Linked DNA regions of Struthio camelus. The protein of the gene in region 1 interacts with the protein of each later gene in a pairwise test. Links are inferred from orthologs where the notes say so. Each region holds a gene or a part of one and is shown on either strand. Other genes may lie near its edges. The genes, in order: EXOC1, TRIO, GOLGA4 and KIF5A.

The links.
Region 2: the proteins of EXOC1 (region 1) and TRIO interact in a two-hybrid assay, tested with the Homo sapiens proteins (2 studies listed by BioGRID and IntAct). The link is inferred for Struthio camelus from reciprocal best matches to the Homo sapiens genes EXOC1 and TRIO.
Region 3: the proteins of EXOC1 (region 1) and GOLGA4 interact in binary tests that used the Homo sapiens proteins (3 or more experiments, as listed by UniProt). The link is inferred for Struthio camelus from reciprocal best matches to the Homo sapiens genes EXOC1 and GOLGA4.
Region 4: the proteins of EXOC1 (region 1) and KIF5A interact in a two-hybrid assay, tested with the Homo sapiens proteins (2 studies listed by BioGRID and IntAct). The link is inferred for Struthio camelus from reciprocal best matches to the Homo sapiens genes EXOC1 and KIF5A.

What each region holds. Positions count from the first base shown.
Region 1 is NC_090945.1:56,369,992-56,377,649, reverse strand, and holds the start of EXOC1 (exocyst complex component 1), read left to right. Parts: upstream 1-4,656; 5' UTR 4,657-4,747; exon of another isoform or gene 4,748-4,994; intron 4,995-6,240; 5' UTR 6,241-6,250; coding exon 6,251-6,374; intron 6,375-7,184; coding exon 7,185-7,315; intron 7,316-7,658.
Region 2 is NC_090943.1:82,825,933-82,833,779, reverse strand, and holds the start of TRIO (triple functional domain protein), read right to left. Parts: upstream 3,015-7,847; 5' UTR 2,944-3,014; coding exon 2,820-2,943; intron 1-2,819. UniProt on the Homo sapiens protein: Guanine nucleotide exchange factor (GEF) for RHOA and RAC1 GTPases. Involved in coordinating actin remodeling, which is necessary for cell migration and growth. Plays a key role in the regulation of neurite outgrowth and lamellipodia formation.
Region 3 is NC_090943.1:54,286,071-54,293,103, reverse strand, and holds the start of GOLGA4 (golgin subfamily A member 4), read right to left. Parts: upstream 3,018-7,033; 5' UTR 2,878-3,017; coding exon 2,791-2,877; intron 1-2,790. UniProt on the Homo sapiens protein: Involved in vesicular trafficking at the Golgi apparatus level. May play a role in delivery of transport vesicles containing GPI-linked proteins from the trans-Golgi network through its interaction with MACF1. Involved in endosome-to-Golgi trafficking.
Region 4 is NC_090969.1:2,321,169-2,329,154, reverse strand, and holds the start of KIF5A (kinesin heavy chain), read left to right. Parts: upstream 1-4,970; 5' UTR 4,971-5,173; exon of another isoform or gene 5,174-5,731; 5' UTR 5,732-5,760; coding exon 5,761-5,889; intron 5,890-7,986. Other genes in the region: DCTN2 (dynactin subunit 2), read right to left, coding at 1,889-1,957, 3,340-3,375. UniProt on the Homo sapiens protein: Microtubule-dependent motor required for slow axonal transport of neurofilament proteins (NFH, NFM and NFL). Can induce formation of neurite-like membrane protrusions in non-neuronal cells in a ZFYVE27-dependent manner.

The DNA.
Region 1 (7,658 bases):
AAAGATATCAAACACACTGTGTATTGCTAGGCTGATCTGATTGCACTGTAGAAAGTCTGTGTCCTGAGGTGCGGCAGACTCACTTTGTGGTTAGTATCGCACAGCTGGGGCACATGAGAGAGAGAATATGCTAAATTTTAAATAGAAAAAACTGACAGGCTAGATAGCCAATCTTTGAATTGATTTATCTTTCAAAATTGTTTTCTACATCACATTTCCTGATTTTGGTTATACAGTGTAGTTTGAAAAACAGTATTTTGGGATTCATCTGCTTCTTCTGGAAGACTTCTCCAAAACTGAATAGGGAGAAACTTATAGGAGAGTAAAGGATAATCAGAAATGCTTTTGTAGCATTCCTATAAAAGGTGTCAACTAAATGATGGAGTGCATTCTTACTCAAGACTCTATGTAGACTACATTCAGAATACAGGAATTGCTATCTGCCCTATCTGTGCTCCAGAGAAAAGGAAAAATCTAGCAGCCTGAAAGTAAAGAAGCGTGATAATGAACAAAGACGACTTTTATGCATACTTGGATAAGAGGCAGAGAGAGAAGAGAATCTCTCATAAAAGATGGATGATGCTTTTTGTCCTAAGAAGTATCCTGTATTTTAACTTTTAAACCAGTATCAGAAATAAGAACAGGTGGAAAGAAAAAGGATTTAGGAATATTTTGTTTGTAATACTTACTGATATCATATACATCTCCTTTTTTCTGTACTTAAATGATTCATAAATTTCCTGCAGCTCTGTACTACAAAGAGCACTTAATATCAACATTTAGAGAAGATGGTGCCAAATCAACAAAAAATACACTGGTGATATTACACTGGTATTCATGGATGCAAGATAACATTGCACCAGCTAAGAGCCTCGAGCTTATATTTAAAACAGAAGAATTCTCTTCCTGTATGTTTATCTTTCATTGATAACTAATCTTTTCCTACATTCTATATAAAGAAAATATGGAAAATGAACAGTTACTTCTCATTAAGGCTGGAACTTATGCTTCTGTTCCCTCCTGCCCCCAATCCACAGGTCTAAAACCAGGAAAGCTCAGTCCTGGATCAAAGCAGACTTTTTAAAGCCATTTCTGAAGGGAAACAGACCAGGGCCTGCTCCAGACTGACTTCTCTGTTACTTCAAGTTCTTGTTCTCCTTTGCATACCGGAGTCACACATATACTGACTCATCTCATCCCAAGTATGCCACTACTCTCCTCATACTACTTCTTTCTCTGTCACCTGCCTATTCCCCAATACTTTCAGTTAGTTTCACAGTATAACTGTTGTATCTTCTCCCAGTAAAATGGGAGTGTATCATGTAATTTGTAATATGTAATTTTGGAATATTTTTTCACAAGTTAAGGCTCATATTGGAAGATCGAATCTATGGGAAGCTGAAATAGGAGGAGAGAGAGAATGGCACTGTGCATACTGTAAAATGATCTCATAATGACTGTTTTAACAAGTATAACCACATTTTAGCATTAACCAACTAAATCTTGCTTTTTGCACTGAAGCAGAATGAACAGCTAAAGACAGAAAACAAGGAGGGTTTTGGACTGTTAACAGTAAAAGCTTTATGCAAACCTATCCAATCCTTTATGGCTGCTTTGTCTAGTCTTTATAGATCCAGGCAAAGACAGTTTCATTTTGTGGGTGAACTGAAAAATTACCAAACTGTAACTTCTCTCTTAACCTTGGCCCTCATGAATGATATATTACAGAAGAAGTCTACAGCATGCTGTTTTGTAAGTCAGAAAATAAAAGTACATGCAGCAAGACTGTATTGGTCAGTAACATTTAATGTTTTCAGTCAAGCGGGAAGCTAATAGAATAATGATGAGATCACCATTTTATCTGTTAAAAATCCACATGTATTGGCAACTTAACTATTATAACTTGGAAAATATATTTACTGTTGCTTTGTATTGGTAATGGCCTGGCTAATAGATTTTATCAATCATACCTTAAAGCCACAGTGATGCATTAACGTGACATAAATCATATAGTTCAAGTAATCTGTAATGTTTTCAGTCTTCTCTTAACTCTGCCCGCAGGCCTTCAAAAAAATAGTATATTAATTTATATGAATAATGATAAAAATGAATGAGGTATATTGATCATGTGAAGAACCTCCTTCACAGCAATAATTGAGCTATAAGGTGGTTTCCCACTGAATGCAACGGTGGCTACAAGTAGCTAAGCCCGGTTTTGGGCATCATTTCTCATGGTTATATTCCAAATGCTAGATGTCACAATTAGTCACAGAGTAACTTTTCCCTCTGACTTATCACTGGCATCAAAAACTCTGAATTACTAATGGCACTTTGGGATCGGGGGAGAGCCAAAATATGAGTGCTTTTCATAGAAGAAGTGATATCAATCCTAATGCTGTGGCCAAATTAGAGTTATAATTGTTCCCTTGCAGCTGCAATCAGATATAAAATTCTTTGTCACTTGAAATTCTGAAATACTGCCATGTTACAATGTTAAGAAACTTCCTTCAGTACCAGATATATCTGCATTTCTTTTATGTACACTGTAAAGGTCACACCTTTTTTTGAAATTGAAAATGCATAGCTCCATTAATGGTTAAATTCTCAGGCATTGTGTATGACAGGCAACAAAAAGTGCAGAGTATTAATTACTTAAACTTCATGACTTCATTTTAAAAGTGTTAGGTCATACTAAGCATTTTAAAGACTGTACTGTTTTTTTAGATCTCCACAGAGAAGTTGCGAAATATTCATTTAATGTATCATACACCTAAAAATCCATTTGTGATAAGAACAGTTTAATCAGTTTAAAAAAATGGAGGAGGGAAAGCAGTAAATATGGAACACAGTTGTACCGACTGATTACTTCCTGAAAAGCTGTGGAGAAGGATCCAGACATGCTTAGATCTTACCATCTCAAATACCTTCTGTTTACATTTAAAATTGCATTTAGGATTCAGTGTTATGAAAGTTCATCCCATTTCCAAGAATTTTTCAGTAGAAATCCACCCACAGTTTTAAGAGAAAGAGAAGCAATTCTTGAGTTCTGGCTAGCCTCTAAATTCTATCTATGATAATAAATTAGTGAGCCATTTTTAGTAGATATAATTTTCAAACATTTTAGTTGAAACCTCCTCCACTAGTTTGAGAAGTGCTATGAGAGAGGAGAAGAGCAACTAACTCCCATCCTGTTCCTGCAAGTCAACTGCTGGGGGAAGGGAGATGCTTCATGGTATCTGTAGACAGAGATCCTTGATAAGTCTTCTCTAGCTCATCACAAATTACTACAGGTAATCAGCAAGAAGCAACTATTTAGATAGCAGGTCTCAAAACAATCTGTCCAGAGAGTTGCTAGACAGGGATCTGAGAAAACACTGACCTGTAACAAAGAACGTGCTACTTGTATTTAACCTAATTCATTGATAACATAAACTAGGGTAAGGCTATTCCAAGATGCAACAAGGGTAAGAGGATACATGAAGCGAGGGTTGACAGTCCATGCTAGATATAATAAAGCTAATGTGAATGGAAAGAATAACATCTAGGAGCCTTTTTCCTCCCCTAAAAACATTTATCTCCTAAAAGATGTAGAACTTCTTAATAACTCTGCCACGAGGCCAACTGATGACAAAAGAGACATCAGAAACTAGCTGACATTGTATCAGTTTTGCTTTTGGTGCCATCCATGTTATTTCTCCCAAGATACTACTTAACTATTCAGCTACAAACTCTTTGGGGGACAAGAGTTCAGCCTTCATACTTGCATGTAAAACACCTATCACAGTTAGTAACACAGAGAGATTATGTCTGCATTATTTTTGTTGCTACTTTATGACTTGCAATTACCACAGACAGCTATGTTTTACAAAACAGCTGGCCGAACCTAACAGCTCACTGCTGCTGGAGGGGGCACCTTCCCCCTAGCTCTTCAGCCTCCCAGGAAGCTTTTCAGGTTCTGCTCTCATGAGCTGAAGTAACTCACCTCAGAAGCAGGCACAAACCACCTCAGGGAGATACACCTGGGAACACGGGGAAGGAAGCAGGACCACCTTTTTGCAAGGCAACGAGACACCAGAGAAACACAGGGGCCTCGTGAGAACCTGCCCAACCATTTCCCCTGCCAGAGAGTGGCTACGGAGCTAGAGGGGTTCACCTCAGGCTTAGACATTTAGAGGGCACCCAGGCAACGCCTAAAAGCCACCACGCGATTACAGCCTCAGCCTAGCAATGCCACCTACCCGCTCACTAGGCTTTTATAGCCTAGGCCGGCTGAGCACCGCCCCCGCCAAGCCCCGCCGCGCCACACGCCGCTCCCGCGGGCACCGCCTGAGGAAGGAAGGGGACACGCCCTAACGGCCGCCGCCGGCCCCGCCCTCGCCAGCCCCGCCCCTGGCGCTGCCCGCCCTCCTACTGGCTCGCCCGCCCCTCCCTCTTTCGTTGCCCGCCCCCTTCCCCCCGGCGCCCGGGTGCGTTGCATAACTTCTCCGGTAGGGGGCGCGCGCGCGCACTCGGCCTGGCGCTCTGTGGACTTTCTAGCGTGTAGTCTCGCTGCTAGGCTGGGGGGGGGGGGGGCGGTGCTAGGGTCACGTGAGCGGAGGGGGCCGCGGCGGCGCAGCTCGGCGGCCGTTGGGGGCAGAGCGCGGCGGGGGTGGGGAGGGTCGCGGCCGGAGCCGGAGCCGGAGCCGGAGCCGCCGCGTCCTGAGGCGGAGGCGCTTCCCTTCCCGTCTGGCCCGGCCCGGGGTTTGCGGTGAGAGCGAGGCGGCTCCGGGCGGCTGCTGCCGCTCCTGTTCCCGGAGCGGCACCGACATCCTCTGCCCCTTCCCCCTCGCTAGGTGTGAGGGGCCTGCTCCGGTCCCCGGCGGCCGTGTCCGGGCTGCGGGCGCGGGTGGGGCCGTACCGGAGCGGCGGGCGGGCCGGGGCTGCGCCTGTCTGCCGCCAGCGGCCGCGCAGGGGGTCCGCGTCTCTGCCCGGGGCCCTTTCAGCAAGGCTCGCAGGTGGGAGGCGGCGGGGCTGGTGTCGGACGGGCGGTTTCCAGCCGCGGCTGCGATAAGTGACCCTCCTGAGCGTTCCTCTTACACGAGTGGTCTTTTGTTTGACCGTTGGCTGTGAACGAGCTTCCCCGGAATTTTACAGTTAGGCCGCGCTCTTACATTAGGTTATTACCTGATACGATATACGAGTGTTAAGAGTTTCCTGGTTGCACACGTAGAGAGGCCAAGCAGTGCACATTAAGTAGCCTGGCTGAGTTGCTCTGTTGAATCTCTCCTATATATTTCCTGTCTGTGAGATGATGTCTTTGATAGATTTCATGCAGAAGAGGCTTTAGCATTACCGTATTGAAAAGATTATTCCAGCAATCCCACAAGGGACTTATTGGAGCCTGAATTGGGCTCAGCTCTCTCAAAGCGTTTTTCTGAGGAAGTAGCTTTGTCTCCAGCTTCTTGTATCTACTTCTGTGCTCTGGGATGGCAAGGGTTGTAAGTCATGGATGAAGACTGCAGTAATGTACTTGGTCCTGACTCACAGTGAAGGTTTTGGGGCTGTGACTCAGTGTTGAACTAGTAACAGAAGTTGGACTATATGTCAAGTATCTGATCTTGGGATTGATGTCTCCTCTTTTATAGGAAAGGTGTATTCTGCACAGCTGAGAAACTTTGCTTTAGCAAAAATGTGAGGATCAGTGAGTAGCAGCAGTCAGTCTGAATGTGGTTTAGAGCAATAGGTGAAGTCCTGACCAGAAGAGAAAGGTGATATTTCCAAAATTAGCAGGCTGTTGGTACCTTGTGTGTTCATCTTACACATCTGTTGAAGAATAACTGAAATGACAACCTGAAGCAATTTTGGAAGAAGCTGGACCAAGCATTTGAAAGGAGAGGAAAGGTGTTAGAAAGCCGTTAACGGTGGAATATTACAGTGCCGTAGAGATGTCATATAAACAGCATTTTTCTTGAATATCCTGAACTCTTGAGTGCTTAGCAGTACTGATTTCAGCTTGGTATATTGGCCCTTTTCCCCCAAAGCACTTGGGTTACTAATTGTTAAAATTTATCTTGGACTTATTCCAAAAATAGTTGGACTTCTATCTATATTATGCATGTCTAGATTATGATTCATTAAATTACCTGTAAAATGTATTTTTTAAAAACTGTAGTTGCTATACCTAAACGTATGTTCTTATTGTATGTTTTAGTAGCCTCCTCAGTCTACTTGAATGTAGTATGAATTTTTGAAATTTTTCAGCTGGGAGAAAATGACTGCAATCAAGCATGCTTTACAAAGGGATATTTTCACTCCCAATGATGAACGCCTGTTGAGCATTGTGAATGTATGCAAAGCAGGCAAAAAGAAGAGAAACTGCTTTTTATGTGCCACGGGTATGTCGTAATACCACATGATATTTTTGTTTTCACCCTTTTTATTCACTTGCTTTTTTCTTAGCTTTATGTACAATATTTATTCTCGCTCCTTATAAAACAGATGCTTCCATTTTTAATGGAAAAATTAGTTGTAGCTTATATCTGTTATTGCTTCTATTAAAACAGAAACAAAACCCTTTGCTTTTACTCTCAGATCTTATTGTAACTTGCAAGGAAGGAATCAAAATTATTTGTGTTGGACTGGGTGGGCTTGTGAAGCAGGCCTTGTATGGTGCTTAAAAGGAGATTTAGTAGATCTCTAGACTGATCAGCCTAAACATGATGCAGCAAGGAGTGCTGGTTAGAGTCCAAGACAGAGGGATCTGGAAAGGCACAGGATTTTAACTGAGTCCTAATGTTCCTTTGAGAGCACGTCCTTTATATTACACCTCTTCCAAGAAGGTGCTTTTGTCCAACTTATCAGTAAATTAGCTGACTGGATTTTTTTTTTTTTTATGACGAATCTCAGAAAGCATTTTTAATCAGGCTAGAATCTCCATTGACTTCTTTGTTCCCTCAGTGATGTGGCAGTGCGGCCATAGTTCTGCTGCACCAAAGAAATAGGCATAAATTGGCTTCAGGACTTGAGAAGCTGTGCAGAGCTGCACATCTGGATGACTGAAATTTAAACTGAGCTGTGGGTATTGAGGATGAAACTTGTTTCGAGGGCTCTGTTCTCATCAGATATAAAATAAGCTTAAGTATAGCAGAAACAGATGTTAATGTAGTTTGAGTGTTTCAAAATTGCTCTTATACTTCATTTAACAGTGACAACGGAACGTCCAGTGCAAGTAAACGTGGTAAAAGTGAAAAAGTCTGACAAGGGAGATTTCTACAAAAGACAGACTGCGTGGGCGCTTCGAGATCTTGCTGTGGTTGATGCCAAAGATGCTGTTAAAGTATGTGTAACTTCTTTTAGTGCGAACTCTACTTGGGACACTTTTACTTCCAAGTCAGAGCTAACTTGGCTATTCATTGTCATACAGCTTTGACTGATAATGTGTTAATTTGGGTTTAAGATGATACATGTTTATTGTATTTTCTTCCAGCCTTCCCAAGAATATAACCCTAGTAAACTGAGTCTGAGTAGTGCAGGTATGCTTGAATTGAAATATTCTGAATATCTTCCCAGTTTACTGTGAGCGTCTCTTAGGTTCTGTATAGTACTTGTGCTAAGAACCAGTACTTTTTTTCTGGTTCAAGTCCTGTGTAAATTTTGATTCAAAAGTTTAGTTTCCCTTG
Region 2 (7,847 bases), on another chromosome or scaffold:
AGATTAAAATATTTAGATATCAACTAGATAACACAGTACACTGCCTCACTTTCCTCCAATTCCTGTAAAGGTATTCCTCATTCAAATTCACAGTACATTAGGTTTTCACACTACACCTCACTTCCAGTTTAGCTTCTTTCTTCTGGAACCTCTCTTAGAATTTCAACCACAACTTCTTTACACAACAACTCAGAGTGACTTTACATTTACATAACCAAAATAGAGACTGGAAACGTATACATTTCAAGTGATGTGAACCTAGCAGCTGACCAAACACTCCAACAAAATATCTGCCAAATAACAAAACTCCATTTGTTAGGCTGCTCTAACTTTACCTCGGCCTTAGTCTTACAAAAGGACAGCAGGAAACCCAATAATCCCACTGGCAGTGCAACGGACCAGTTGTCCAGGATTTTAATTTTCCTCCTGGAAAACACCATAATGTTTTTGTTCATTTTCTCTTTTAAGTAACAGCTACAGATTGCTGACACTCTCTGCAAATGACAGGAAAAAGGAAGCATTCGTCATCATAAATACTGTAAAGAGAAAAATATTTTGTCTGTACTCACGTACACCAAACTAAGCTTTCTGCCTGTTCATTGATCGCTATGTCCATCCGCACTTTGTTGCTTCAAAACACTCCCTTCTGTGTTTCAAAGTGAAAAAAAGATACCTCCTATCCAAACAAAGGGAAGCACCAACATCACTCAATGGACCACAGAAGAATGGATCATGACTTAGAGAACGGAGACAGAACGTAAGGAGCTTTCCCCACTACCAAATCCCAGTGGAGAAGCTAGAACATTTTCCAGGGTATGTCACAGCCCAGGCTGAACGAGGTAACCCCTACAGGCACAGAAATGAGAATGCCATAGTTGTTAAATACACTCTAAGAGGTTTTCAATAAGCGTTTGACATGTCTTTCTACTGCTTTGAGATTTTCAGTTACTGCAAGACTGAGTTAATGCAACTTCATTGTTATCGAAAATCATCTGCATCAGAAATCCTTGCTGCACAGCTCACGAGCTAATTGAGTCTGTGTTATCCCTCTACCCACACGCAAATGTGGAAGCCAACTATTAATACCGCCGGCAGGACCTTCAAAACCACAGGATTACCAGACAATGTGTACCTACTTGTAACCATGCTAGGCAGACTGTAAGCCTAGTACTGGCATCCATCATTTTGCTTTCAACATGATTCTTTCTGCTGAGAATGAACAAATGGATTTTCCACGATGAAATCCACTGAGGCCAGCCTCTCTCTCAATTCGACAAGTTTTGCACTCATCACCGCCACGCGAAACAGGTTTCGGAGGGAGCATCACAGACACTCCATAGGAGTCTTAACTCACCATTCAGACCGTCTGTCCACACTCATGCCTTGAGCACCCTCGCTTCAGTGATGCCTACTGCAGATCACACCTCTTCCCTCATCTGCCTTAAACCAGGCAGATCCAACAACAAGCATGGATTGTGAGCAGCACCAATTACACCGCTTCTGACTTTCCTTAGAAACGCAATTAACACGGGCGAGGGGGGGTATTTTGATTTATTTTACACACCAAACTGGCCACCCCCTTCCTCTTCCCAGCGGTGAGTCTGCATTTTCCTTCCTGGCCCGCTCCTTTTTAGGCATCCAAACGGAGTCGGTGCCTAGCCCGGCCCTGCTGCCCCGCCCGGGTGCACCGGCCGGGGGTGCCGTGCGGTCGCCGGGGACGAGAGGGGACGGGAGGGGATGGGAGGGAGGGAGGACGGGCAGCCGCCGCCACCGCCGCCGGCGACCCCGTCCCCCTTAGGACGGCGGCGTACCGAGGGGAAACACCGACCGAGGAGGCGGCCTCCATTTTTTAATCCCGGCAGGCTGTCAGCAGGCTCCATCCCCCCCCACCCCTCCCTAGTCTCTCCAAAGCCAAGCCAGACTTTCCAGCTCGGCAGCACAGCCAGGAGCACGCGAACCGCACCAGCCCGGCGCCCGCTGCTGCTGCTCCTCCTTCACGGAGGCAGGGAAATCCCTTAGCGCTTCTTCCCCCCCCCCCCAAAAAAAAAAAAAACCACACACGCCTCCTTCTTCCCTTCGCGCTATAAATACCCGTTTTGAACGCTTCCCTCTCCCACCCCCGTCCTCGATCGCCACCGGCAACGCGGCCCCGGCGCGGCGTGACGGGCCGCGCGTTGCCTTTTATAGCAGTGTCATCTCGCAACCCGCTGGGAAGCCCCGGCCGGCGCCGCGGCCCAGCTCCCCCTGCCCCGCTCACGCGAGGGACGGCCTCTGCCTCCCGCCCTCGGCGGGCCAGGGCCGCACCTCCCTCTCCCCCCCCCGGTTTTAGAGACACCCCGCCTGCCCCAAGCGCCGCCGTACGACACCCGCGGCGGCCGTTAACGCGCCCGCCAGCAGGGGCCCGCCCCGCCCGCAGCCGTTAACGCACCTGCCAGCGGGGGCCCGCCCCCCCACCCCACCCCCGCGCGCGGCCGTTAACGCCTCGCCTCTCCCAGCGCGACGCCCGCGAGCTGCCGGGCCCAAGGCGAAGGGGCGCTGCCCCCCCCCCCGGGCCCCTCCGTGCAGCGGCAGCGCTCGGGGCAGACGGACACAGCCGAGGCCGCTCAGGGGCGCCCGCCCGCCCGCCCGCTCCGGGCAGCCGCCGCCGGCCAGGGGAGGGAAGGCAGACATCCCCCCCCACCCCAGCCTCCCGTCCCCGGGGCCACCTGACAAAGCCGGCTGCCCTCTCTCGGGGGAGGGAGGTGTCGCCTCGCCACCGCCTCCAGCCCGGGCCTGGCCGCGGCCCCTTTCCCCCTCCCCGGGGAAGGGGCCGCACTCACCGGATCGGAAAAACGCCGCTATGTCCGCCGAGTCCTTGGCCGCCTCCTCGGCCCCTTCCCCCGCGCCGCTGCCGGCCGTGGTGGCGGCGGCGCTGGAGGCGGCGGTGGCGGCGGCGCTGCTCATGGCTGCTGCGTGCGGAGGCGGAGGGCGAGACCCCCAAGCAGCGCCCCCACCGCGCCGCCCCGCTCACGGCTCCTCCGCGGCCGGCGGCGCGGGCCGGGCGCACCGGGCTCTGCTCCGCGGGGGGCGGCTTCACCTCCTTCGGGCGGGGGCGGCGGCTGGCGGCCGCGGCGAGCGCAGGGACATGGAGGTATGCGCGGAATGGCAGCCCCGGGAGCGCCCCCCCGCAGCCACCTAGGCGGCGGCGGCGGCGGCGTGCGCAGGCACCGCGGCAGCGCCTGCGGGCGGGCGGCAGCCGGGGCGCAGACAATCGCAGCAGCAGCAGGACGACGACGGCATGGGGAGGGCCGGCGAGCGGCGCGGCGCGGAGCCGGCGGGAGGCGAGAGCAGGGACGCCTGCAGCCTTCTTCCGAGAGAGCGAGCTGGAGGAGCGGCAGCTGCGCTAGGCGCGGCGGCGCTGGTGGCCGCAGCAACCGCCGTCCTCCATCTTGCCCGGGAAGAGAGTGGGAAGGGGATAGCGGGGAAAGGAAGCGAGGCCCCGCCCGAGGAACCGGGGGGGAGGCGGGGGGAGCTCGGGCGTCTCCGGCTGCGTCCGGCGCTGCTCGGGAGGGGGCGGTGCAGCGCGTCAGCCCTCCCGCCGAGCCCGCTTCCCATTGGCTGGGCGCGGCCGAAGGTGAGGGGCGCGGCCGAGGGGGCGGGGCGCAGAGCCGGCGGGGGCGGGGGCGTGGCCGGCTGCTGCCCGGCGCCCACCGGGGGCGCGACCGCGCCGTGGGGGTTTTTTATTTATTTACTCTTTGTTTTTATCTCGCGCCGCTCCTGCACGGCAGCCGAGCTGTGAAAATGAGGTTGTGAGGAGGTCGAGCTCGTCGAGTACTTTAAAGGCGTTGAAGCAATCCATTACCTCGCTGTCGGTACTGTAACTACGTATTTATTTATTGATTTTTGCTCAGTGATCTTAGGGCAGCTCTGAGGAGTTCTGTATCGCGGCCCGGTCCAGGGAACGCAACGGGAGCGGGCAGCTCGTGACGGCCAGCTCAGTCAGGTGCTGGGGCTGCGCTTGGTGGGGGCGCGCCCCCGCGCAGCCCCCTTAGACTGCCGGAATAAGGCGGAGGGCCGGTAAGGTGGAAGAGAGGCAGGTGGGGAAGGCAGTTTAGCAGTTGCACAGACTGATAAAACTGAGTAACAGAGCTCAAATGCTGGTGTCAGAAACGTAGCTTGTTAGCACACTTGCAAAGCAGAAGCGTAGCTCCAAGAATTAACCTCCTGAACCTTTGATAAGTCTTAAAAGCAAAGGTAACTTCAAGAGAAATGTGGTATTGCATTAATTTATCACAGTTGGGCGACGCAGACGTCCTTTTCCCAAGGTTGGTGTTTAGCTCAAGTCGTACAGCTTGATGAAAAAGCTTTTGTGCAACTACCCTTGCCCTAATTTCTCTTATAGAGGAGAGATTAGTTTTGACTGAAAAGAAGTTTGAAAAACGTCTTTCTTTGAGGCAGTGGGCCTGGGAGAGAGTCCCAAATTGGCACCCTGCTGGCAGAAGTGGTTGCAGGGTGAATTCCTTTCTGGCTGGCCTAGCAGCATCCAGTGAGCAAAAAAACAACTGGAACAAATGCCGCTGTTCCTCAGCGAGCAATAAGTTGACCTGGAAGTAGGAGTAGGATGTTGTACATCAACACAGAAGAAACTGCAGGACAATATGAAAGAATGGGGTAAGTTAAGGATACTAGCTAATGTAATTAGTAAAGAAAAAGTAATCTCCTGGAATCTCAACAAACTGAGCTGTCAGAGGCTGCAGAGCAAGGAGTGCTTGAGATGATTTGTTTCAGAATTTGAATTAGGTACAGCAGTGGAAATTAAGTAGTAATGATTGTAGAAACAGGAGCAAGATCAATAGTGTGAAGTTCACTGTCATTTGAGGCCGATTGTGCCAATGTTAGCTTTGGGAGACTGTTCTGTACCTTAGCTATTGAAGATAAGATAGTGACCATTTGTTTCCACCAAGTTGCTCACCCTGCATACGGTACAGTTTGCCAGTGGGTGCTAAAAAGCCAAGGTTCATTTAAACAATTTTGAAGGCTATATGACTGAAATTTTGTCCCTTCTCATATTTCCTTCATCTGCAGGAGATACTGGTTTTGTCTTTCATGAACACGCAGGAACCATGAATCATGTCCCCCACTAACAGACCCTCTCACCACTGTGAAACTGAAAGAATCTGAAGTGATTTCCACCTCATAGGATTTAGTTCTGTCCTTTGGCTGAGACTGATCAGCCGCAAGTTATTTACCTGTGGCAAAGATGATCCTTACGGACTTTCAGCAACCAAATATTGCTCATATCCTTTGCAATGTTCAAAAGGATTATAGCAATACAGTTGTGTGCGCTCTAAGGTTGATGATCCAACATTTGTTGAAGGATAGGTTACAGGAAATACATTAAGACAGAAACATCACATTATGACCAATTACTTAATGCATTGTAACAAAATAAGGATTTCCTTCACAGATATCCACCTTAGATCTCAGATACCGGGTTTAACATTTAAATTTTAGGGAATCAAGTTTCTTAGTCCATTTCTTCTTGATCATTTCAGGCTTGAAACGCAACAAAAAAAGCCAAGATATGAATTGTCTGTGTGCAGAACGCTGCATATTGAAAACTGAAAAAAAGTTCAATTGAAAAGTTGTGTAAGCTTGCCTACTTTTGCAACCTGGCATTAGGGAGCGGTCATACTCTTCAACTTCCACTTTACTTGTCTGAATGTTTGTCAACGTGCAAATGGTTTTGCACCAATTGCAATGGTAAATGCAGGAAAGGAAAGAATATTCTTCTTCATATAAAAGATATTTTAAGGGTGCTGAGACCTGCTAAACATCAGTGCTGCCAAGGCTGAGCTTCAAATTACAAGTGTCTTTAAATTGCACAGAAGGATTTTTAAAAAACAAAGATGTTGAAATCATGCTTAATTTAGATAGCTACTCAAAATATATATAAACATTTTACTTTGTATAAGCAGATTGTTCAATGAGATTTAAGCCTGAGAAAAAGAAATGCCCTAAGTGTTTTATCCTTTGAACGGTCTTTATTTTTCCTTGTATTTTGTCTTAGTCAGGTTGAATGGTTGCTCTAAAATCAGTATATCATCGCACAGACATCCTTGTTGCTGGTGAAGAGGTCTCTTGTGAGGGAAGAAGCTTGCGCAGTGCCTGGCTCTCTGTATCCAGGTTGGAAAGTGTCATGGGTCACATCATCTTTCATCCCTAAAGTAACATGCAAGTTGGATATTGCTCAAGTTCTTTTCCTGCACCATTTGCAGTCCACTTGGTGAAGCGAAAAAAAAAAAATTGCCCCATTTCTGTAAGATATTAAAGAAAACAGGGCAACAATTTCATTTAAAATCACTGATATTTATGAGTTTTCAGAAGAAGTAACCTAGAAACTCATTAGTGTGGGCAAGCTATCAGGCACAGGATGATACTGACCTTCGTGGTCAGTCAGAGTCGTCTCCCTGCTCTGAACAAGAAAACCCTTCAGTTGTGAAAAAAATGTGTTTTTACTATAGAGTTCATTTCTCATACTTGTTCCCATGCTTGACTGTTTTATTTCACAAACAAAACCTTAGAACATGAAAGATAGTGTGGGGACAAGACTTTCACATGGACAGCTCTTTAATGAAAAAGGTATGTGGACTTCCCTTCAATGTAGCCAGCCTACAAGAACTGTTTCTTACAAATGTTATTTTTCTGCAGCAGGCTTTCAGGGGATTTCAAATGAATCTATAAAACAGGGCAGAAGCACTTGTAGAAGCCAGTAGAGAAGGCCAGAGCAGCTGCTACTGTGCTTTTTAGATGACAAGGCTTCTTTTAAGATTGCAGCAGTTAAGAAAAGCAACCCAAGTTATTAATGCGTACCACCTCCCAGTTGCTATCAGATTCTAATCTAAATAGTGCTGGTGTTATAGCAACATTTGTCAATTTCAAATTATTCTCACTTCTCCAAGTACAAGATATCTCTCTTATCTGTAGAGTAACACTGAGGCATTTTCCAAGTTATCGTTATTGTCTTCCCCTTTTTTGCAGAAACATCCATGTCTTTTTGAAAATGCACTGTAGTTGTCTTCCACAGTACTATGTCTGCATGCTCCATTTCCCTATGCTATCGAATCAGGTTCCCATCTCATTATGTGGTGAGTTCCATCAGCTTTTGAAACTTCTGCCTTTGCCTCTTCATTAGTTTTTCTACTGTTTGAGTAGCAGTTAAATGTTTAGTAGCTGATAGCAGATGGTGTGAACTACCTCTCACATATGTAAAATATTGCCAGTGACCTTGAAAATATTTTCCACCTGCTTCCACCAGTGAGACCTTTCACATTCTGACATCCCCTTACAAACTTGGAACGGCACCGCTGCCACCCGCCAACACATACATTTCACAGATAACTCCTGCTAAGCACCTGCAAGGAGAAGTTCAGTACAATTAAGTCAAAAACTGCATACGGTCAGTGTTTGATGGTCACTACAACTAAAGCTTTCCTGCTCATATGCTCATGGTTGTCAAGTCTTAAGCAAAGAACCACGGAGTTTTTTAATAAGCTGCAGACCACCTTGTGTGTTTTTGCATGTCATTTACTGAAAATGTTAACCCTCCTGATTTTATTTATAACTGAACCACAGTTTTTCTAATTCTCACCATTTCAGAGATGTGCTAGCTCTATAAAAATCCCGCTCCCACTTCTGCTGCATGGCATGTACTGGCTTGTCAATGTCAAGGATACTTCTATTATATGTAGAAATTACATCAACCATCTGATGTTTTGTAGACTACTGGTGGCTTATAAGCCATCTGTTGACTAACCTCAGCCTAATAAAGTGTTTATTTTTCTTTTTACAGTTAGATAATCCTAATT
Region 3 (7,033 bases), on another chromosome or scaffold:
AAAAAGCGTTCACCTTAGTATTACCCTTGGATAAATGTTACTTCTGGATTTAATTGGGTGCAGGCTGGTGGATTTAGTCTCAGACAATCATAACCCAGCGTATAAATAACAAGTTTATGTCCTAGGGGAGAGGACATGCATAAAGCAGATAGAGTATGGTAGGAGAAGCAGTGGGAAAAAAATACCAGGATAGATTAAAAAAATAGATACACACACGCACACACACACAAACATATACAAGACAGAATAAGCAGTACAGAGAGTTCAGAGAAAGACTCCCTGCAATAGGGTATAGGAAGGAAAAGAACAAAAGTGAATATAAACAAAAGCATTTTAATATTAAGAAATGGTGAATATTTTTATTTTTGTTTGAAAATGCCTTGATAAAAAGTGACTGATAATCTATAAAATGAACACAGAGTACCCAATAAACGGAGTGCAGCTTATGTAAGCATGTAAATTACTAAAAGCAAGGGGCCAAAAGTTTATTCCATACTCTCTGCGAGAATCCAATACATTTTACAGGCCCTTCAGTACCTTCTCTGTCCTTCCTCACTTACACTATCTGTTTTCTTGTGACATTTGAAGAATGAGCAGATTAATCCTTTAGTTTTAAGATCAAGCTTAACTCAATTTTTCAAGTACTGATATTTGAGATCATTTTAAGAATAAGCAACATTGCCAGATAAATACTTTAAATAAAATAAAAATTTGTTAACATTTTCTGTTTCTACCTTTCAATTCACACCAAACATTGATCTGATCTACTCTATCAATAGTATAGAGAAACAGACGAAAATATCATTTATCATAAGCTCTAATAAGATTTCATAATAGCTCCCAGTGATGTTTTTGATAGATAAATAAAGGCTGCTGAGTATGTGCGTGACAATAACACTTACTCAAGCCCAAGTTTATCCATAAGGCTGGTTTTTAGTAAGTACTGATCCTCTGACAAATGAACTGCATGTTCTGGACTAAGTGAGTTACAATACTGTGTCAAAGATACATGATTAAGCTGCAGTGCATCAATAATATTATAATTTTGCAGTTAAATCTCTTTATGCTGCACTAAAAACCCACCACACATGCCCATTCAGTACGTTGCTCTAAGCTGCCACTGACCAAGCTATAGATGTTAGAAAAGATTCAGAGTTGATAGCTGTGAAATGATTTAAAAATAAAAAAGATAAGCTACATAAAACTTCACAAAAGTTCTACTCCTTTGCCAAAGATACTACCCCAATTTGATAAACGAGCAATTTTTAAACTATTAGTTAAGTAGCTGATATCAGCAATTTTGAAACTATGATCTCATACTAGGACTGTGCAATGCACACTCACCAGCTGGTTCAAATTACATCCGGATCACACCTAGGCAACCAACCATCTCTGTCAAATTAGGCAGACTGTCTGCCTATAGACTGCCATTCACAAGATACAGAGTTTATGCCAGTTTTATGTTTTTACATTGGTTTCAGAAAGGCAAAAGACGCTTAACCCAGCAAGAAGCCAGAGACATGCAGGCAGACAATACCTGATGCAACATCAAGTGCGCCAGTAGAGAGTTAACTTGGCAAGTTCTTCTACCAAATTTAATCTGATATAACAAGTTTATTCTGCTTCAACACATTGCATCAAGTGACTACGTTTTTTGGCCATTGTCACTCTCACAGTTAGGCTTCGTAACCTCAGCAAATCTACATGTGTAATACTGTCACTTAAGAACTGCAGTTTTCTAGACGCCAACACTAATTGCACTTGTATGTAAATACATACAGGAGAAAAATGATCAATTAAATTATCACTAAAAAAAAGATGCCTTGATCTCAGCTTTTCTACGTTTAAAAAAGTATAAGGTTAAAATAAGCAAAACAGCCCTCTAATTTATGGTAACAGAAGGGATTTACAGGAGTTGAAAGAACAGACATTAAGTAGAGAGGAAGATAAATCTCTGAAGCTGCAAGTTTGACTTCACGAGGGTCTTACATTATTTTTAAATAGCTACCAATGACTTCATTTATCAAATTTCATCAGGGACCAAAAAGCAATCGAATAGAAGTAACCCACTCTATTACTTGGTTATTTTTTTGTGTCATGAAACTTAGCTCCTCTAGAGGCAGCTAGTAGTGCAATACGCTCTAAGGGGTGGTGGATCAAAGATGATCCCGTGATCTCCATGCTGGATGGTTATCCAATGCGTACTAAAATGTTACTCCTTTAACTGCTTAAAAAACAAAAAATAAAAAACCCACTTCTGTTCAATTCTGTTTGGTGTTTTTAAGCAAGAGGTTTTTTTTTTTTTTTTTTTTAATTCCCCAAAAGACAACCTCTGTGGAGCGGCCTATGGGAGGGAACAGTTCTCCAGCCTTCAGAGACACAAGGCAGCTGGGTAACAACGCAACTCGCGTTTGGGGTTAGGCCCCGAGCACGCCATGCCGACAGCGAGCCGTGCCGCCGTGCCCTCCACCCTTCCCGCTCTCTCAGCCGGCCGCCGAGGGGCGGGGGAGGCTCAGGGACCACCGGCACAGGCCCTGTCACCGTCCCGGCCGGGGCAGGACCGCACTCCGCCTCCCAGCCGGCCGCCTCGGCCACAGCCTGCGCCACCCTCCTCCCCCCCCGCCCCAGCACCTGCCGCCCCTCAACGGCAACCACGGCGCGCGCCGCCTCGCGGGTGCCCCCCCCCCCCCCAACGGCTCGGAGGCGCGCGCGCGCGCGCCTCCCTCCCCCGCCCGTCGCCCCTCGCCCCGGCGCGCGGGAGGGGGCGGGGCCCGGCGCGGCGCGCGGTACCTGCGGCGGGTGGGGGGCCGCGCGCCCGGCCGCGCCCCGCGGCGGCGCCTGCTCCTCGCTGATCTTCTGCTTCAGCTTCTTGAACATGGTGGCGGCGGCAGCGGGGAGGGGAGCAGGGTGCTACCGCCCTGCACCCACGCTCTCGCGCCTCCCGCTCTGCTCCCCGAGGAGCCGCCGCCACCGAGTCTCCTTCCTGGGTCCCCGTTCCCCCCCCACCCCGCCCCCAACACCCCACTCGGAGCAGGTGAACGCCGCGGCTACTGCGCCTGCGCAGCCAACGTGGAGCTGAGCGGGCTGGACGGGACGGTACGGCACGCAGCGAGGCACAAACTTCCCGGAGGGATTCCCTGTCGTTTCCCCCCCGCCCCGCTCCCCGGGGCCGGGGCCGGCCGTGTCCCGCCCCGCGAGGCGGAGGCCGAGCCCGGCCGGGGCTGGCGCGCGGGGCACCGCGGTGAGGCGAGGCGAGGCGGCGCCGCGCCGTGCCGCTCCGCCTCCCTCACGGCGGCCGCCGAGGCAGCCCGGGCGAAGGGGTAGGCGGCCCGGCCTGCCCCGCCCCGCCCCGGGTGGGTATCCGGCGCCAACCGCCTGTACCGGCACCCGCCCCCCAACTGCCTCCTGCCCGGGCGGCCTGCGGCGGGGCGGGGGCCGCGGCACGGAGGGGGAAGGCCGGCCGGCCGGCCGGCTCCGACGTGCCCGCATCTCCTCGGCGCCTTTCCCCCTCCGGCCTTTCCCGTTTCCGTTACTGCAGCAGGCACCACCGATTTCAGCGAATCGCGGTTATCGGTCTGGTTGTTCTCGCGCTTCCCGGCCACCAAGCGTTAATCCTCCGCCGCCGGGAGGAGGGGCAGTCCGCTACCTCTGTCCGTCAGGAAGGTGGAAAAAAGCAGGGTGTTGGCAACAAGGAAAGCCACGTCTGTGCCGGGTTACTTCCCTTTCCACTGCTGCTCGTTGTCCTAGGGGCCACAGAAACCACTTAACGTCATGGGTTAAACCTCATCATCAGCGCGATCCTTAAACCGCGGTAGCACCCAGTGGCGTCTCGGCGTTTCTGTTGTCACGGGAACTAAAGCAGTAACCTCAGCATCTCCTTAAAAGAAAGAACCGATAGCCAACAATGCGCGGCAATGTTATTTTGTTGATGGTCGAGGTCTGAAAGTAGTTTTCTGACCACTTGACTCCGCGTGGGGCAGGGGTGCAGGAGCGAGCCGCCCCGCGCCGTTGGTCTGCTCTGCAGTAGCTGACCATAGGCAGCGAGCCCATCGTCGTGGCTCTTCAGCTTACTGCAGCTCCTGTGCGTTGTAAAGTCGAAAAGGGAAAAGGTCCGCCCAAGCCTTCGTGCTGTACTGTGCTGTTAGGGTTAATCTGTTCGTTTCTGTAGCTAAAAACATACTAGGAAAAAAAATGCAGCTAATTCCACGTTAAGGAAGTGGAAGATGATTCAGCTCTGTGCTGTTTTTTTTTTTTTTTCCCCTATTTTCTTCCGTAATGGCTGTTCTCCGGATGGGTGGATAAACCATTACAAAGCAATCCTTTTCATCTTGAGGGGGTATGGTGAAATAATGCAATGAGCTGACTTGCCAGAATGTTAGTCATAGGAGTGTATAAGCCCTTGCATGACACTGTCAATCCGTGGTGATTAGCGATAGCTTCATGCACTTTTGCAATGTGCCAATTGTGGCTTGTGAAAGTTTGTGACTAAAGCATGCTCGAAAGTTGCTTTTGTATTTTATTAAAAATTTATCTGCTTATAATTAAGTCATGTTTTTGGTTTGTCCTGAAAACTTGTGAGTACTATTCTATTTGTAAACCTGAGGTATGTTATTTATACAAGTAAACATGGACTCTGTTACAAATGGATATTGTTTGCTGAACACTGAATGAAAAAGTAAGCAAGAAATGCTGCAACAAACAAACTGCAGTAAGTTTTTCTTAATTTTTGCTACATGTATTAAAAAAAAATAATTTTTCAGTGGTCTGTTTAGCTGCAGATAAACTAGGAGGCTGGTAGGGATCTTCCTCTTAGGACTACTATGAAAACTTTGGATGGCAGCAGTGTTGTGCAGTCCATTGATTTCTTGTTAGGAATGGCTATCTGTTGGTTTGAACCACCTTTCCAGAAGCTAGTCTGAACCTACAAGCCACAATAGTCATGTATGTATTTTGAAGATTTTTATATTCTCTTTTCTATAGGTGGGCTTGGAAACAGAGGTATAGGAAAGAGTCTCCAGGACTAGGAGGGCAAAAATATTGCTATTCTTCGCTGAATAGCAATCTGCAAAGAAATGAGAAAAAGTGGACAATTAAGCTTACTGCAGCTCATAAAAAAGCATAAATTCCGTCAATTTTACTTCAGTCAATTTTCTCTAAATATTGCATGCAGCAGTAAGGCAATGCCTCTCTCACTTGCTAGCCTGAGGAATGCTCTGGGAAACCCTCTTAGGACTACACCCTTGGGTGTCCTAATAAATCTGTGATTTTTCTCATGTCTGCTACTCTATCTTGAGCACACACGTTCTCTTCTCGCCTTCAGCATCTGTAAGTACACTCATTTAAAATCTAAGTCACTAAATGCAAATCTGAATTTGTTGATTAGATGTGTATTGAAAGGAAAGTAGCTCCTGCAGCTATCAGATGAAAAAGCAGAGCTTGCAGCTGCCTCTTCTCTTGCAGAGCATTATCCTGGTGGATTATCTGTTGAGATATCAATGTGGTAAGCAGTCTTTCTTCTTTTCTCTGTTTCTCTCATGTCTTCCATTACAGCTGCCACTGCCTTTCCTTACTTCTGTTATTTTTTTTTCTCTTTAATGTTTTTTCCCCCTATTTATATAGGTTTCTTCATTCCTTCATAATATGTATCCGTCGCAAAAGAAGGAGCGCTATATTATTTCTTTGGAAAATCTAAAGCTTGAGGTAGTTCGTGTGTTATGTTTATTATGAAGCGTGTTTCTCATAGGATTGAAAGCTATGGAGCAAAGAATGAGACTAGGGACTATAATAAAAGATAAGTTTTCTCCTATACTAAAAATCCTACTAACTACATTATAGAAAATGTAAGATGATTGATTAATTGGAACTCGGTTCATGAGTTGTAATGCTACTAACTCAACATGGTAATCACATGGCAATTAGACATTTTCCAGAGGATTTTTCACAACAGCACGGTGTTTTATTGTTTAAATTCCAGTAGGCGTAGTCATCTCCTGTTCCCCAAAGCTGCTTAAACTGGGTTTCAGGAAGAGGTGAAGTAATATTTGTACGTATCATTTTATCATATATAAGCTGGTGGCATTTCATAAAGATCATGGACAAGGAATGAATTTTTTTACTTTTGAGCTGGTACAAAATTGTGTTTTGTGATGCGCAGCTACGTGTCTTAGCGCCGCTTAGATAATATAAAGCGATATCTCACATTAAGCAACAGTATACAAATTCTGAAGATACTTTTGCTAACTTTGCAAGATACAATCATAAGTCTTCTAAAAAGGCTTTAAATTCTGTAATTCCTGAGCAAGTTTTATTACAATATACAAACCAATTACTCCAAACTCCATCGTTCTGGAGGAATTGTCTGTAACCATAACCAGTTTTCCTTCCCTCTGTTGGGTGTCAAAATCCCTTACATAGCTGGATAGTACTTTATCTGCAGAAAGTTCATTTGATTTTAGTAGGCTTCTATGTGAAGTGAGAAAGTAGTAATTGAAAATGAAGATTTGCTCCTCTTTTTTTTTTTTATCTTCCTTAGTTACACCATATGCCAAACGACCATTATTTGACATTTGTATTGTCTGTGAAGGATAAAAATACGCTTCTGCTAGCATGTACTGGTTATGGTAGGTTACCAAGGGGGAAGTTCATTTCCCACATAAATTTGTGGCAGTTGTTAATATACCTCCATGGGAATGCGAGTAGAGCATTAATGTAAAAGACTGTGTTTTAATAGCAGTCTAAACTGCTCTAATTGTTAGTGACAGTGACAGTGGTCCACACATCCCTACAGTCCTATTCCTTGCATTGTGCCAGCTACAGTGCTTGTCAGACCTTTCCCTCCGCCGTTTCAGTGTGTTGAGTCTGCAGAAAACTAACCTGACAAAAGAGCAAATAATTTTCTGCTTACTGTGCTGAGTTCCGTGCGTACATGAGCTGTTGCAAGAGAGACAGAGGCAGCTAGAAGCTAGATAGGTTTACGATGCCAGAGTTCTTATTTCAGGTTGCTCAGGAATGTATGGTCTTTGTCGAGCAATGT
Region 4 (7,986 bases), on another chromosome or scaffold:
GAGACAACATGATTAAGCCGTACAAGGGGCTTTGGCGAGCCGGGGCCGGGCCGGCAGGCGGCAGGGCTCCCGCAGCAGGCGCGGACGTGCGCCAGCCAAGGCAGCATTGCTAATTCATGCCGGCGGCCGCCGCAGCAGAGCCCACACCCAGCCGCCGGCCTGGCACCCGCCCGGCAGGGACTGCGGCACCCGCGGCTCCCCGGCTCCGGCGTTATCGTCCTCGGGCCCCCACGGCAGCTCTCTGGGCCCAGCCAAGGGGCCCTAAATCCTTTATTTCGTGGGGTAGGACATCACCGCTTCCGGTTTGGAGCAGCCGAAGGGCGAGGCTCCCAGAAGAGGAAACCGGAGGAATTAAAATCCCGGTTAACCCTTTGCCTCCTGCCTACAGCTGGGGCTGCATGGCGGGGAAAACGGGTGCAGGGGAGGCAAGTCACGGACACGGCACCACTGTATCACCGATGGCGACTTCAGAGTATCTGAGGCCTGACTGGTGCTGTTTGGGGTGAAAAGAGCCAATTTCAGTCTGATTTACTGACTGAACCTGCCAGGACATGGGGGTCAGCAGGGATGCATTTGCCTGCAGGTGCCAATTTGCCCTGTCGTGTTTTTTTTACCGCTCAACGGGAGTCCGAGTGCCCAGCGTCCTCCCGCTGCAGCCATCCAGCTCCGACACACAGGGCCCAGGCATGCAGCACGCGGAGCGTCACACCAACCCCTACGTGGCAGGACGGGGCCGAGGCTGCGCTGTCCCGTGTCGTTCCCCCCCCCCCCCCTCAAACACCAGCTGGGCCACGGCGAGAAGCCGGGTCTCGCCCCCCGCGCCGTCGAGGCCTGGCTCCCCCCCACCCCAGCTTGGGAGCACGTGCCGGCGAAGCGGGGCCCAGTGGGCGGGCAGGCAGCAGGAGGGAAAAGGATCTGCAGCGCCAGCTGGGATCCGCGGGGCCGAGGCAAGGAGGCAACGCGAATGGCACGAGGCAGCGGGGCGCCGGGAGGGCGCACGTCACGCACGCGGCAGAGCACCGGGCCGAGCGAGCGTCCCCGGGAGCACACCAAGGTGGGGATCATGGCTCCGTCAGGGTGGCCAGAGCAGTCGTTCCGGCCGGGAGCCGCCTCGGCCAGGAGCGCGGGCGAGCGGGAGCCCTTGCCCTGCCTCCCAGGCAGAGCTGGGAGCCGCCTGGCCGCAACGCAGCCCTGCCTGCGTCCCTCGTGCCATAACACGCAGGGCCTCGAGGACGGGGGCTCGGCAGCCTGAGGACAGAGCCGACCCAGCCCTGCCTGGGCGTCAGCCCCATCTCAGGGACACCACGGTCAGGTCAAGGCTGGCAGCCTCGAGGACGTGGCACGCATCGCTCCCAGAACAGCCACGGCCTGCATGCAACAAACGGGCTGCGGCGCAGGGCTGGGCCGCGGGACCCTACTGCTATTTGGGGCTGTTTTTATGGGGCCTGACCCCCGTCGGCGTGGCCCCTGTTGTCCTCCGCATGCTGCCAGCCTGCGTTTCCCGTGCCCGGCCCCCCAACCAGGCTCACGTCCATTGGCAAAGCCAATGGGGGGGGGGGGGGCGGTTCGCCAGCCCTGCTCGCGCCTGCTGCCCTCAGCTGCGTTACACCGCGTGCAGACCCTGGGGACAAGGACAGGGACAGCCACCCGGCACTGGGCAGGGATTAAGCCCTGCCAGCGCTTCGTGGCCCCCCGAAAACGTTTGCAGTTTGACCAGGGGGTGAGCGTCGCTGGGACGCAGCACCGTGGCGGGGGGACGTGGCGCTGCAGAGGCGTGCGCGGGGACAAGGGCCGTTTCCCGGTCCCGGCGTGCCGGACATCTGCAGGAAGGCGGCACAGGCAGGTTCGCGCGCACCCGCCGCGCGGCACGGCCCCAGCGAGGCCTTACCGCGTCGAACTCGGCCTGGTCGTCCTCGGGCAGGTCACTGGTCTCGTACACGTCCGGTTCGTTCCTGGCCTGGCGATGTAAACGGGCTCCGGTGAAACCGGGTGGTGGCGCGGGGCCGGCCCTGGGGGGTCAGGTCACCCTCGCAGCACCCACAACCACCCAGCCCAGCACCCCAGTAACATCACTCTCACCATCAAAGATGCCCACAATCCCCTCAGCGCTCCCTACCGTTACCCCCACACCTCAAATCCCCCCACAAAACACCCTCAGGTGCCCCCTCAACCATGGACACCCCCCTGCGGTTACCCTCCCCCACATACCCTCAGTCTTCCCAAATATTCCTGATCCCTCTTAGACACCCCCGGCACCTCCCTAACACCCCAGTTACTGTGCCAGGTTCCTCCGATCCCCCCTGGACAGGTCTGCTCCCCTTCAACAGTCCCAAGTGCCCTCTTTCTCCCCAAATGCCCCAGTTACTGTCCCGGGTTCCCCTGATCCCCTCCAAGTGGGGGGGACTCCCTCAAATACCCCCCCACTTCCTGGCACCTCCAATCTCCCCAAATGCCCCATCTACCCCTCCAGCCACCTCCCATTCCTCCGAGGCACCCCCTAATCCCCTCAGCTACCCCCCAGCCATCCTCGATCCCCCCCAGCCACCCTTGATCCCCTCAGGCCCCCCCCAAAAGCCTCAGACACCCTCAATTTCCCCCCCAGGCACCTGGATCCACCCCAGACACCCCCGATCCCCTCAGCTACCTCCAAAAAGCCCCAGGCCCCCTCCATCCCCTCAATGACCCCCCAGACCCTCCCGATCCCCCCCCCAGGCCTCCTCCATCCCCTCAATGACCCCCCAGACCCCCCGATCCCCCCCCAGGCCTCCTCCATCCCCTCAATGACCCCCCAGACCCCCCGATCCCCCCCCCAGGCCTCCTCCATCCCCTCAATGACCACCCAGACCCTCCCGATCCCCCCCCCAGGCCTTCTCCATCCCCTCAATGACCACCCAGACCCTCCCGATCCCCCCCCCAGGCCTCCTCCATCCCCTCAATGACCACCCAGACCCCCCGATCCCCCCCCAGGCCTCCTCCATCCCCTCAATGACCCCCCAGACCCCCCGATCCCCCCCAGGCCTCCTCCATCCCCTCAGTTACCCCCTAGACACCCCCGATGCCCCCCCAGGCCTCCTCCATCCCCTCAATGACCCCCCAGACCCCCCGATCCCCCCCCAGGCCTCCTCCATCCCCTCAATGACCCCCCAGACCCCCCGATCCCCCCCCAGGCCTCCTCCATCCCCTCAATGACCCCCCAGACCCCCCGATCCCCCCCCAGGCCTCCTCCATCCCCTCAATGACCCCCCAGACTCCCCGATCCCCCCCCAGGCCCCCTCATCCCCTCAGTTACCCCCCCCCGCCCGGCCCGGCCCGGCCCGGCCCGGCCCGGCCCGCACTCACGATGCCGGGCAGGTCGGCGTACTTGGGGTCGGCCATGGCCGGGCCGGGGCCGGGGCCGGTACCGGTACCGGGTCGGGCCGGGCGGCGGCGGCGGCGGGGCGGGGCCGGGCGGGACTGAACGAGTCTCGCGAGAGCTGCCGGCGCGGGGCACGCTGGGAAACGGAGTGCTGGGGGGGCGGGGGGCGGGGGGCGGGGGCCGCTCTCCGCGCGCCCCCTTCCCTCCCTGCGCGCGGGGGTGGGGGCGGGTGCACCCGGGGTGGGGGAACACGTAGGGGTGCAGGGGGGGGGTGGGTGCACATGGTGGGGTGCACACTGGGGGTGCACATGAGGGGGGTTCACTGGGGGTGCACAGGGGTGTGGGTGCACCCCGGGGGTGCACGCTGGGGGTGCAGAGGGGTGTGGGTGCACATGGGGGGTGCACACTGGGGGTGCCCTGCGGGGTGGATGCACCCCACAGGGTGCATGCTGGGATGTGCACGGAGGGTTGCACATGGCGGGGTGCACAGTGGGGGTGCCCTGGGGTGTGGGTGCCCCTCGGAGGGTGCATGCTGGGAGGTGCACAGAGAGTTGCACATGGGCAGGGTGCACGCTGGGGGTGCAGAGGGGTGTGGGTGCACATGGGGAGATGCACAGGGGGTTGCACAGTCGGGGTGCAGAGGGGTGGGGGTGCACATGGGTGTGAGTGCACACTAGTGTCAGAGTGCACAGGGTGAGTGTGCGCGGGTGTGCGTGTGCAAAGGCGGGGGTGGGCGCCCACACAAGAGCGTAGGAGCGGCCCCCCGGGTGGGCACATTCCAGGGTGAGTGCCCACTGCCGGGAGTGCACACAGGGCACCGCTGATGTGGGGCGTGAAAGCGCATGAGGTGGGGGTGAGTGCACACTCCTCTGAGTGTGAGTGCCCCCCCCCGTAAGGTGTGTGCAGGCGCTGCCTGCGGGTGTTTGTGGGTCCCTGGGGGTGAGGGGAGGGGTGCTGCAGCCATGAGCTGTCCCTGCATTGCCCCCCAGCTGGACGCCCAAGGCCCGGACGGGCCACCAAGGACACGAGCGTGCCAGGCCTCAGCTCTGGGCTAGGCCCTGCCAAGTGCCCGGAGGAGGCTGGGGGAGGGGGGGGCCGTGAGTCAGGACTCCTGGGTCCCCGGGGCTGGGGGGAGGGGAGCTGATGCCCTGCCGGGGGGGGGGGGGCAGGCAGAGAAAGGGGGGGGGACCAGCCCTGCAGCCAGCCCCGGGGGTAAATGCCCTTGAGGCTGCGGCTGGGCCAGTGCTGCCTTTGGGCTGGGGTCCTGGCCCCCTCCCTCTGTGGGGTCAAGGCCCCCCCGGGTGTCCTGCCCCCCTCCTCCAAACACTGGGAAAGGGACCCAGGCATCCTAACCCCCCCCCCAGCCTCTTCCCCAGCTGAGAGAAGGACCCAGGCGTCCTAGCCCCCCCCCTTTGATGAATCAGCAGTTTGGGGAGGGCAGGTGGCAAGGCTGGGGCTGCCCTTGCTGGGGGAAGGGAATACACTCGGGGGGGGGGGGGGAACCCTCGCCCCCCTTCCCCATTCCGGCTCCGTCCACCTTAAGGGCCGCGGGCGGCTCCACCTTAACGGGGGGGGGGGGGCGTGCGCGGGGGGGCCCGGCCTCCCCCTCCTGGTACCGGGGCTGCGGCGGCGCCGCGGTCACTGGAGCACGGGGCAGCAGCGAGCACCGGCCGCCGCCCGCACCCGCCGCCGGGCCCTGGGTCGCATCCTGAACTGCTGGGTACCACTCGCATCCCCGGCTACCACCCTGCATCCTTGGGTACCACCCGCATCCCCGGGTACCACCCTGCATCCTTGGGCAGCATCCTGCATCCTTGGGTACCGCCCTGCACCGCTCGGTCGCATCCTGCATCCTTAGGCGCTGCCCGATCCCTAAGGAGCATTCTGCATCTCTGGGTCGCATCCTGCACCCCTGGGTCGCATCCTGCCTCCTTGGGTGCTGCCTGACCCCTAGGGAGCATCCCACATCTCTGGGTCACATCCTGCATCCTTGGGTACCACCCGCATCCCTGGGCAGCATCCTGCATCCCTGGGTCGCATCCTGCACCGCTGGGTACCACCTGCTTCCCTAGGTACCATCCACATCCCTGGGTCGTATCCTGCATCCTTGGGTACCACCCTGCATCCGTGGGTGCTGCCTGACCCCTAGGTAGCATCCCGCATCCCCGGGTGCCACCCCACACCCCTGGGTACCACGCGGCCCCTGGGCAGCATCCTGCACTCCCAGGTGGCACCCCACACCCTTGGGTAGCCCCCAGCACCCCTGGGCACTACCTGCATCCCCGGGTACCACCTGCATCCCAGGGGCGCTCCCAGCATCCCTGGGCAGCACCCCACACCTTTGGGTAGCACCCACCTCTTGAGACCCCCCCTCAGTCCTCCGGGACCCCCCGGCACCCTCCAGCATGGTGGAGCCCAGCACCGAGTGCAGCATCAAGGTGCTGTGCCGGTTCCGGCCGCTGAACCAGGCCGAGATCCTGCGGGGGGACAAGTTCCTGCCCGTCTTCCAGGGTGACGACAGCGTCGTGGTGGGGGTGAGTGTGAGGAGGGGGACAGTGACCCCAGATCCCCCCAGTGGGGCAGAGGGGGACCCGGCCCACCCAGCTGTGGTGGGATTGGGGGGGGAATAGGCAGCCGGGGGGGTACTTGAAGGGGCAATAGGCAGCTGGGAGGGGGATTTGGGAGGGGATAGGCAGCCGGAGGGGTACTTGGGGGGGGGCAGTAGGCAGTTGAGGGGGGATATGGGGGAAAATAGTCAACTGGGGGGGTACTTGGGGGGAATAGGCAGCCAGGGGGGATTTGGGGGGGCCATAGCCAGTCGAGGGGGTGCCTGGGGGAGGATAGGCAGCAGAGGCATGGATTGGGGGGGGTTAGGCAGCTGAGGGGGGGGATTGGGGGGAAATAGCCAGCCAGTGGGGTACCTGTGGGGGGGAATAAGGAGGGGGAATCGCCCTGGGTGTGGTCAGCAGCGAGGGGACCCAGAGCACGATGGGACGCAGCCTCCTCGTAGCTCCCCCCAGGGCGTTTCCCCCCCCCTCCCCGCAGCACCCCTCATTCCCCTTCTGAGGGCTCTGGGTGCCCCCAGTCCCCCCAGTCTGTCCCAGTGCCCCCCGAGGCGGGGCAGCTGTTTACAGCGAGTGGAGACACCCAGATGCCCCGGGGTTGGGGGGGGGTGTCAGTGCTTCAGCACCCCGGCAGGATCGGGCCCGGGGGGGGGGGGCAGTTTGCCGCAGATCCTCCCTGCAGCACGGCCCTGCCCGGCCCTTTGTTAGGCTCTACCAGCCCCCCCACCCCGGTACCGGGGGGGGGGGGGGAGCTGCTGGAACCGGAGCTGGGAACCCCCTATAATAGGGCCTGGTGCACCGGGGGGGGGGGTTCCTGTTCGGGGGGGCTCCTCGGCCCAGCCGGCCTGGCCCCCCCCAGCCCCGGCATGGGGGGGGGCAGGGGGTTCCCCCGGAGGGGACAGGGGGATCCTGGGGGTTGTGTAGCTCTGCGGCTGTGTCATGTGGGGGTGCAGCTGTGTTGGGTGTTGTCGCACAAGGTGTTGCAGTGCCACGCGGCTGTGTCGGGTCGGGGCAGTGCGGGGCGTTGTGTCGGTGCACAGCTGTGCCGGTGCATTGCAGGGTGTTGTGTGATTGTGTGCCGTTGAAGCTGTGTGTCGCAGTGGTGGCTGTGCCAGTGCAGGGTGGAGTGTAGCGGTGCGGGGTGTCGGGTTTGGGTGCGGTTGTGTCAGCGCGGGGTGTTGCGTGGCTGTGTGCGGCGGGGTCTGCGTGTTGCTGCGCTGGTTGTGTTGCGCGACTGTGCGGCGCAGGGCGGCTGCGTGTTGCTGCGTTGGTTGCGTCGTGCCTGTGCCTCGCCGGCTGTGTTGTGTCGCTGGGCGTGCGGTGCAGGCTGTGTGCGGCTGTGCTGGGGGTGGCTGTGCGGGGCTGTGCGGCTGTGCTGGGGGTGGTTGTGCGGTTGTGCGGCTGGGCCCCGTGCGTTGTGTGTCCCCCGGGCGGCGGCGGTTCAGCACCGGGGCCTGGACAGCTCCCGCGGCCGGCGGGGGAGGGGGCGGTTGGGGGGCGTTTGGAGGGGTGTATGGGGGTATTGGAGGGGTCTGAGAGGATGATTAGGGGGTGTATGGAGGGTCTGGGGGGGTTGAGGAGTATATGGGGGGCTGGGGGTGCTCTAGGGCATGTATGGGGGGGGACTGGAGGTGTCCAAGGGGGTCTATGGGGGTCTGGGGGTATTTGAGGGGGTGTAGGAGGATCTAGGGATGTTTGGGATGTGCATGGGGGGCTGGGAGTGTCCAAGGAGGTGTATGGGGGGGTCTAGGGTTTTCTAGGGGGATGTATGGGGGCTGGGGGTGTTTATGGTTTCTGGGGGGGGGTCTGAGGGGGTAGAAATATACAGGGGCATGGGTCCTTGTGGGAGCATTTGGGGGGCCTGAGGGTATATGGGAGGCTGAGACTGTATAAGGGCGGGTGTGAGGTCTGGAAGTATATGGGGAACTGAGTGTGCCTGAGGGAGTATATGGGGGGCTGGGGGTGCATGACAGCTAATATGAGGGAGCTGAGGGGTATAGAGGTCCTGGGAGTGTATGGGAGGTGTATGGGAGGCTTGAGAGTGTTTGGAGGACTGGGGGTGTATGG